2 linked regions of the Saccharomyces cerevisiae S288C genome follow. The protein of the gene in region 2 interacts with the protein of the main gene of each other region in a biochemical or structural test. Each region holds a gene or a part of one and is shown on either strand. Other genes may lie near its edges.

Region 1 (3,982 bases), on a different chromosome or scaffold from region 2:
ATGGCTTAGTTATAACCTTTAATGAAAACATTGCTTTGAGCTGTTCAAACATGGCCCGAGGCGATTTCAATCCTATGGCAGGTGTAGGGTTTCTTTCTTTTAAGAGCGCAATAGCAACTAGAACACTTATGCTACACGATATGCCTATGATACGAAGGCACCACCGGGTATTTCCAAAGTCAGAAAGCATTTTGTTTGTAGCCAAACCGTAAACGACACCACCAGCACCGGTACCCAATAATGAGACACCCATTGCGACAGCTCTTTTTTTCAAGAACCATCCTGGTAAGACGGTTGTTGCTGGAACGAAAATCAGTGATATTGAACAACCGACCATAAAACCTTGGGTGACATACAATTGCCATAACTTGGTAGTAAAGGAGGCCAAGAGATATGCGGCAAGCATTACAGCATCACCAAAAAGCATGGTGGTCCGCAGACCAATTATTCTCATCAGTGCCATCACAAGGGGGGATAAGAGTTGACCGAGAAAGACAGTTAGGCCAGCAATTAAGGCATAATCGTACTTCGAAGCACCAGGGTAAGTATCATGGTTTAAGTAGTAGGCAAGGTCGACACCGAAGGATGCGTTGCAGCCCCACGTGGAAAACATGGTCAAGAACACACAGAATGTCACGACCCAGCCATAACCACCGTCGGGGGGCAGTTCCAGCTGCCCGGTAGACTTGTTGGTGAATACTTTTTTTACAGTCGGTTCATCAGGCTCGAATTCGGTTATTCCTTGGGCCTCAAGATCCTTACCGGAGTGTTTCGTGGAAGCCGGATATAGTCTATTCCTCATGAGTTTGGAGTCCATGGAAGCTTTATGTTCTGTAGTATCATTTTGAATAGAAGAAGCAGAGAAAGCAGAGGAAGATGGTGCCGACAACGAGGCGCCTGCAGTCGTGGTGTGTGTGACTGGGATGTTTAACTTTGACTGGACTGACTCATTGTGCTGTAGCCTAATGGCATCGGCCACGTCAAATCTAGATTCTAATATTTTATTAACGTCTGCGGAATTTTCTTCCGTCTGCAAGTTGTCGTCATCGACAGCCTTTTTAATGTCGTTGAGCCGATTAGTTAACGTCCTACTAATAGACAATTTTCTCGATGCATCGTTCGACTTGGTGCTGTGTAGATCAGAGCATGGAACCGGAGCAGCAATAGAAGCCTTAGAGAATGATACAGGCTGTGAAGAGTTTATCGAAGAAACCTCGGACGATGTCTCAGAGACCATTCCGGAAGAAGCAGAAAAGTAGTCGTTTGAGTGCGTTGACATTTTTCAGATTTATTTTCAGAAGCCCCGTAATTATACCTAAAGAAAAAGTAAAGAAAAGTGGAGAAAACAAAAGAAAAAGATAAAACTTTTAAATATGTGGTGTGACAAATGCAAAATACTATTCTGACTCGCACATTTAACTAACAAAAGAAAATTTGTCTAAGTCTAGCAGCTTTGGTAGAATATAGAAGAAACAGTCTAGTTTTGGCTCCGATATGAGTGGACAAAGCATCAAGATCTAAGGAATGCCAAGTATTTATCCAGGTTCTCCCGAAGACTTTTCTTCAATAGCGGCGGGGGTTTTTTTTTTTTGCAGATTGCCGAGATAGCCCGCGGCAAAGATACGTTATCTCGGTTATCGTCGGCAAGCGCTATTGTAACTAGATATAGGAAACTGTGGTCTGCAAAGATGCGGTATAAGGCCTCCGTCTGTTCTTACTGCGTTATCAGCCTTTGACAGTTTTAGTTCGTCAGGGTCTTTGACCAAATGATAAATTCCCTGGTTTACATTTTCACTAGTTTGTTCTCGAGCAATGCTTAGTTGGCACATAAATGAGTCAGGCACTACCACTCGGGTAACGGTCTGCGCGTTTCTTTTTGCGGCCATGAAATTTTTCAGGCGATGAGCTTAAAGGTAAAGGAAAAAGATGGTAGGATGATAGGTAGGATGAAGCGGTATGAAAGTGGAAGAAGCACAATATAGCACGTCGAAACAGTGCTAATCATGAGCGATGACTTGTTTTCTAAGGCTTTGGAGAATCCCGACCAGGACTTGAACGTGGAATTGCCCAAGGATGATGTTGATTTAGGTCTTTTAGGTGATGGTGGGAACGAGAGGAAGACCGATGAACCGGTAGCAGACGCAGAAAGATCAACAGGCCTAGGATCCGGCTCTTCTGAATCCGAATCAGATTCCGGTTCTGATTCTGATTCTGATTCTGGCTCTTCAGGTAGTGAGGATGATTCTGCAGATCAGGACGTTGAAGGAGAGGACGAAGGTGGTGACGCGATTGAAAATGAAGACGAAGACGAAGACCCTTCACCTTCCGGTCCTATACTATCGAAGAACGAAATACTAGAGGAAACTGTTCCTGAACTACCGGAAGATTATGAAATTTCAGAAAAAACGATCATCACTCCTATTGGTGTTTTGAAGTCTGCATTTGAAAATAATATAATCATTCACGCCACGATGTCGGGCGAAAAGCGTGTTTTAAAAGAGGGTTCCATTTTCTGTCTCGAGGATAGAACTTTGATCGGGATGTTGACGGAGGTGTTTGGACCCTTGCAAAACCCATTTTATAGAATTAAGTTGCCCGATTCAAAAAAAAACTTATTCGATGAATTAAAAGTGCGTTTGGGTGAGAAAGCCTTTATAGTCACCCCTGATGCCCACTGGATAGATACTTTCGAGTTAAAGCGCAACAAAGGTACTGATGCGTCTAATGGGTACGATGAAGAATTACCTGAAGAGGAACAAGAATTTTCCGACGACGAAAAAGAGGCCCTTTTCAAGAAAATGAAGAAACAGCAACGGCAACGAAAGAAAAGGGACAACCGCAAACTAGCCAACGATAGTGACAATGTCAAGGTAAAGAGAGCTCGGCAGCCCAAGGCCAACAGTTTACCTAAACTGGTACCGCCGTTGGGCATGAGCAGTAATGCTCCGATGCAACATGGGTACAAATCAAGAAACGCACGTGAAAATATCAAGCGTGAATCCAGTGCTACCTCTAATCGGAATGGCTCCTCCCCAGTGCCAATCACACAGCACCACCAACAACAGTTTTCTGCAAATAATTATCCCTTCCCTCAACAACCAAACGGTATGCCTTATCCACCATACTCACCTTTCCCTCAGCCGACTAACTTCCAGTATCCACCTCCACCATTTGGGCAGGCGACACCGGCCCAATTCTCCAACACTGTTCCATATGGTAGCTTACCTCCCGCATACAACAATATGTCGCCGCCAACACAGCAGTCGTTCATGCCAATGACCCAAAGTCAACCGCCACTTCCATATGGCGTACCTCCCATGAATCAAATGCAAAACCCAATGTACATCCAACCGCCACCTCAAGCACCTCCTCAGGGAAATGGTAATTTCCAACAAGTAATGGAATTACATCAAATACTTTTGCAGCAACAGCAACAGCAACACCAGTATCAGCATCAGCATCAGCAAGATCCAAGAACCTAGAGTCACGATTGAAATATTTAATAATAAATGCTATGTATCATAGATAAACTAGAAAGAGGCAAGAAAAATTTAACAAGTTTCTTAATTGAATATTATTTTACTGTCACTACCATTATTAGACGCCATCTCAGCGTGTGACATGATAATTTTTCTTTTTTTCTTTTTTTTTCCTCAAGGCGATGATATGAAACTTTCAAAAAATTTATATGTAAATAAAAAAGTTCTACGAGGGTTTAAATACGGAAGTTTATTTAGAAGATATTTATACTCTGAATACACACGTAGAGTACAGTAAAGGTTTTTTAGATCTACTAATGACCATATCGTTGAGCAATATAAAGAAAAGAGACCATTCTAAAATTTCCGATGGAACTTCTGGTGAATCATCGCTTGTAAAAAGGAAACAGTTGGAAAGCGCCACCGGAGATCAAGAGGAAGAATATACAGACCATGAAATCATTATAGAGCCGTTGCACTTTGCTAATAATAATAACACTGTA
Region 2 (3,846 bases):
ACAAATTCAGAGACAAACACAATAATGCAACATTTACAAGGGTTCTGTCAAGTTTTCGTAACAAAGTTCTTAAATTCCTCTATGAGCGTTAGCAATGATCCCTCTGTGTCTATCGAATGCAAGTCCTTAAATGAAATGATTAAAGATTTTTGTTCCTTTATTTCCCTACAAAGCAAATTTTCGTGCTTGAAATTAATTGATTGCAGCACAAGATTCAGGAATGCAATAATCGGCGATATTAGCTTAAAATCAAATGAGAATTTGCTATCATGGTTGTTTCTAAATAATGTCATGGGCCAATTGCTGAACTACTGTTTTGAAGTCATGAAATTCGTCAATGGCCTAAAAGTTTAAAAGTTCTATCATTAGTATATGGGGATATTTAAAAAAGAATATAACGTTGCATATGTAAAAAAAATAAAAGTAAAAGAATACTACAAGTCGTTGATAAAGAAATTTTACGTTATTAATATACACACTAAAAAAAATCTAATCTAATAATAGAAAAAGTTTTTTGAAAAAAAGAAAGCTGTTAAATATATAGGATGAGATGGAGTGATGAGAATCATTTCTTAGATTTCTTAGATTTCTTTTCCTCAGAATCACCGTCTTCAGACTTTCTTTTCTTCTCCTTTTTCTCTTTCTTTTCCTTCTTGTCCTTCTTTTCTTTCTTTTCCTTCTTTTCCTTCTTGTCCTTCTTCTCTTTCTTTTCCTTTTTGCTGTCATCCTCTTTCACTTCTTCCTTCTCAGTTTCGACTTCTTTGATTAAAGAATCTTCTTTAGCTTTCTTAGGCTCTTCTTCAGTTTCCTTAGTTTCCTGAGAGCTAGAAGTTGACTGTTCAGCATTGTCTAATGGAACATATTCTTTTTTCCATTGTTCTGGGGTGTTTTCGTTAACACGGCCGTATTTATCCAATTTGCCGTCTGCCTTCATTTGCTTCTTCTTTTGTGCGACTGGACCCAAACCCCATCTTCTTGGGTATAAATCTCTTTCCATGATACATCTCTTCACACTAGCAACAACACCATGATCACAGGAAGCTAAGTCAACGGTTGACATTTGTGCGATGGCAACGGCAATGGCTTCACCCTTGGTAGTTATCAAGACAATTTCGTCATATAACTCAATACCTTCTTCGTAACGCAATAAACCAGGGATCATCAACTTTGCACCATAACATACTGCATTGACAGCAGAATCCTTCACTACAATTCTCTTGTAACCAACCAATAGAGTTTCTAAAGGTTGAATAATGGATCTCAAGTAAGATTCATCTCTTGTATTGTCGTAAACCCATTGGGCATCCATAACATCATGTAAAGTGACCATGTTGTCATTTTCAGACAGAGCACCGGATCTAACACGACGCAATTCTTGCATGTGACCACCAACACCTAATAGCATACCTAAATGAACACACAAAGTACGCATATAAGTACCAGCTTCACAGGAAGCCCAGAAAACACCTAAGTTTCTCTTGTTATCGAACTCAATCAAGTTTGACTCATAGATAGTACGAACACGTAATTGTCTCTTAACAGCAGAGATTAAAGGAGGTCTTTGGAAAAGCGCACCGGTCAAGTTTTCTAGTGAGCGGCCCAAATCCTTTTCATCCTTCAAAGCATCATGCAATCTGACAATACACACATACTCCTTACCAGCACCTTGTTGAGACTTAACCAACCTGGTAGCTCTGTCAATACAAACAATCAAACAACCTGTAACTTTTGGATCCAATGTACCAGAGTGACCAGTCTTCTCACAACGTAAGATTCTTTTGATCCAAGCTACAACTTCGTGCGATGATGGGTTGGAAGGTTTATCTAGATTAATGACACCAGAGCTGATATATGATTTCAGGTCTCTCTTTAGTGGTGAACTACCAGCTGGGATAGGGGTATAATGACCACTTCTGACTAATAACTTATCAAAATTCTTCAAAAGTAATGGCCATTCACTAGTGTCAGTGGAAGCACCTGCAGCTTCAGGCTTAATAACGAAATCCTCCTTTGACATTGTGTATATCGGTCCTCTGTGTAGGTTGTAACGAACTCCAGATGATAATGAATCTTTAAAAAAAAAAACCAATAAAAAATGTTCTGAAAACTATCTTTACATTATATTTTTCCTAAGCTAAACATCTCATCATTTGAAAATTTTTCAAATTTTTTCAGCATTTTCTTTTTGCGAAGAGGGAAAAGAAGAAAGAAAAATTTTCAGTGAGAACAGAAGATCATATGTTACGAGTAGAAAATACTAAAAGTTTTTCGATAAAAAGGGAATATATAATATAAATAAATCAATCTGTCATTGAGTAAGTTTACAATGCAGCTGCCTCGAACTCTTTTTTCAATCTAGATTCCACCGCGTCAATGAACTCCTCGGTAGTGACATAAGCGGATCTTTCAGACTTACCGAGAATGAGCGCCAAATCTTTAGTCATGATTCCATCTTCTTGCACTGTATTTACCGTAGCGCTTTCCAATATTTGGCCGAACTTAACTACATCTGGAGTATTATCAAGTTTACCCCTTTGAATAATACCTCTAGTCCACGCGAAAATTGATGCAATGGAATTTGTTGACGTCTCCTTTCCTTGCTGATGCTGTCTAAAATGTCTTGTTACTGTACCGTGGGCGGCTTCGCTTTCAAAGGTTTTACCGTCCGGGGTAATCAACACAGATGTCATTAACCCCAAGGAGCCAAATCCTTGTGCAACAATATCTGATTCTACGTCACCGTCGTAATTTTTCATGGCAATTATGTATCCACCTTTAGATTTCAACATTTGGGCCACCATATCATCAATTAAACGGTGCTCGTACCAGATGCCAAGGGATTCAAACTTCTCTTTATAACTTCTAGCATACATGGCTTCGAAAACATCTTTGAATTTACCATCATACTTCTTCAAAATAGTATTCTTAGTAGTGGAATATAATGGTAACTTCCTTTCAATGGCCAATTCAAAGGAGGCCTTCGCAAACCCTTCGATCGAATCTGTAGTGTTGTACATCATCATGGCAACCCCACCATGTTCTGGGTAGTCAAATACCTTCAGATCTACATCATGAGTTCCGCTCTTGGATTTATAAACAAGCCTCAACTCGCCTTCTTCAGGGACTATTACATCGGTAGCTTTGTACTGATCGCCGAATGCGTGTCTCCCAATGATGATGGGCTTCTCCCATTGAGGAACTAGCCTTGGAATTCTAGGGATAATAATAGGTTCTCTGAACACTGTACCACCCAAAATGTTTCTAATAGTACCATTTGGAGATTTCCACATCTTTTTCAAATGAAATTCCTCGACCCTTGCCTCATCGGGTGTAATAGTCGCGCATTTGACAGCTACTCCATACTTTAAAGTCGCGGTGGCAGAATCCACAGTTACTTGATCATTAGTCTGGTCACGATACTCCACGGAAAGATCGTAGTACTTCAAATCAACGTCAAGATAGGGCAAGACTAACTTGTCCCTGATTAAATGCCAGATTATTCTTGTTTGCTCATCGCCGTCCATTTCCACAATGGGGTTAGCTACCTTAATCTTTGTCATTACGATTTTATATATATACGTACGTTACCTTCTTACCTCCTATTCTCGTGCCTGAGCAGCGACTGTAGTCGACAAGTCAAGAGTGTAGTAACATACAATTGCAGGCTGTCATTTATATATCATGCCGGAGACTAGTTTGCCTATAGCCAATTCCAACCGAACCAATAATGTTAAGTCCGGTTTTTGATATTATACTCCACCCCCACTATTCCTAGCCCTGAAAGGTATCAAAGAGAACACTGATGATTTGACTACTGCATATTCTTCCCTTATTTCCTTATTTGCC

Evidence for each region. Proteins that work in one complex are often made in the same cells at the same time.
Region 1: the proteins of CBF5 (region 2) and NAF1 form a complex in vitro, tested with the Saccharomyces cerevisiae proteins (2 studies listed by BioGRID).

Annotation. Positions count from the first base shown.
Region 1 is NC_001146.8:390,889-394,870, forward strand, and holds NAF1 (RNA-binding snoRNP assembly protein), read left to right. Parts: upstream 1-2,003; coding exon 2,004-3,482; downstream 3,483-3,982. Other genes in the region: ESBP6 (Esbp6p), read right to left, coding at 1-1,279; NMA111 (Nma111p), read left to right, coding at 3,797-3,982. UniProt on the Saccharomyces cerevisiae protein: RNA-binding protein required for the maturation of box H/ACA snoRNPs complex and ribosome biogenesis.
Region 2 is NC_001144.5:504,305-508,150, reverse strand, and holds CBF5 (pseudouridine synthase CBF5), read right to left. Parts: upstream 2,018-3,846; coding exon 566-2,017; downstream 1-565. Other genes in the region: RFX1 (Rfx1p), read left to right, coding at 1-354; isocitrate dehydrogenase (NADP(+)) IDP2, read right to left, coding at 2,322-3,560. UniProt on the Saccharomyces cerevisiae protein: Catalytic subunit of H/ACA small nucleolar ribonucleoprotein (H/ACA snoRNP) complex, which catalyzes pseudouridylation of rRNA. This involves the isomerization of uridine such that the ribose is subsequently attached to C5, instead of the normal N1.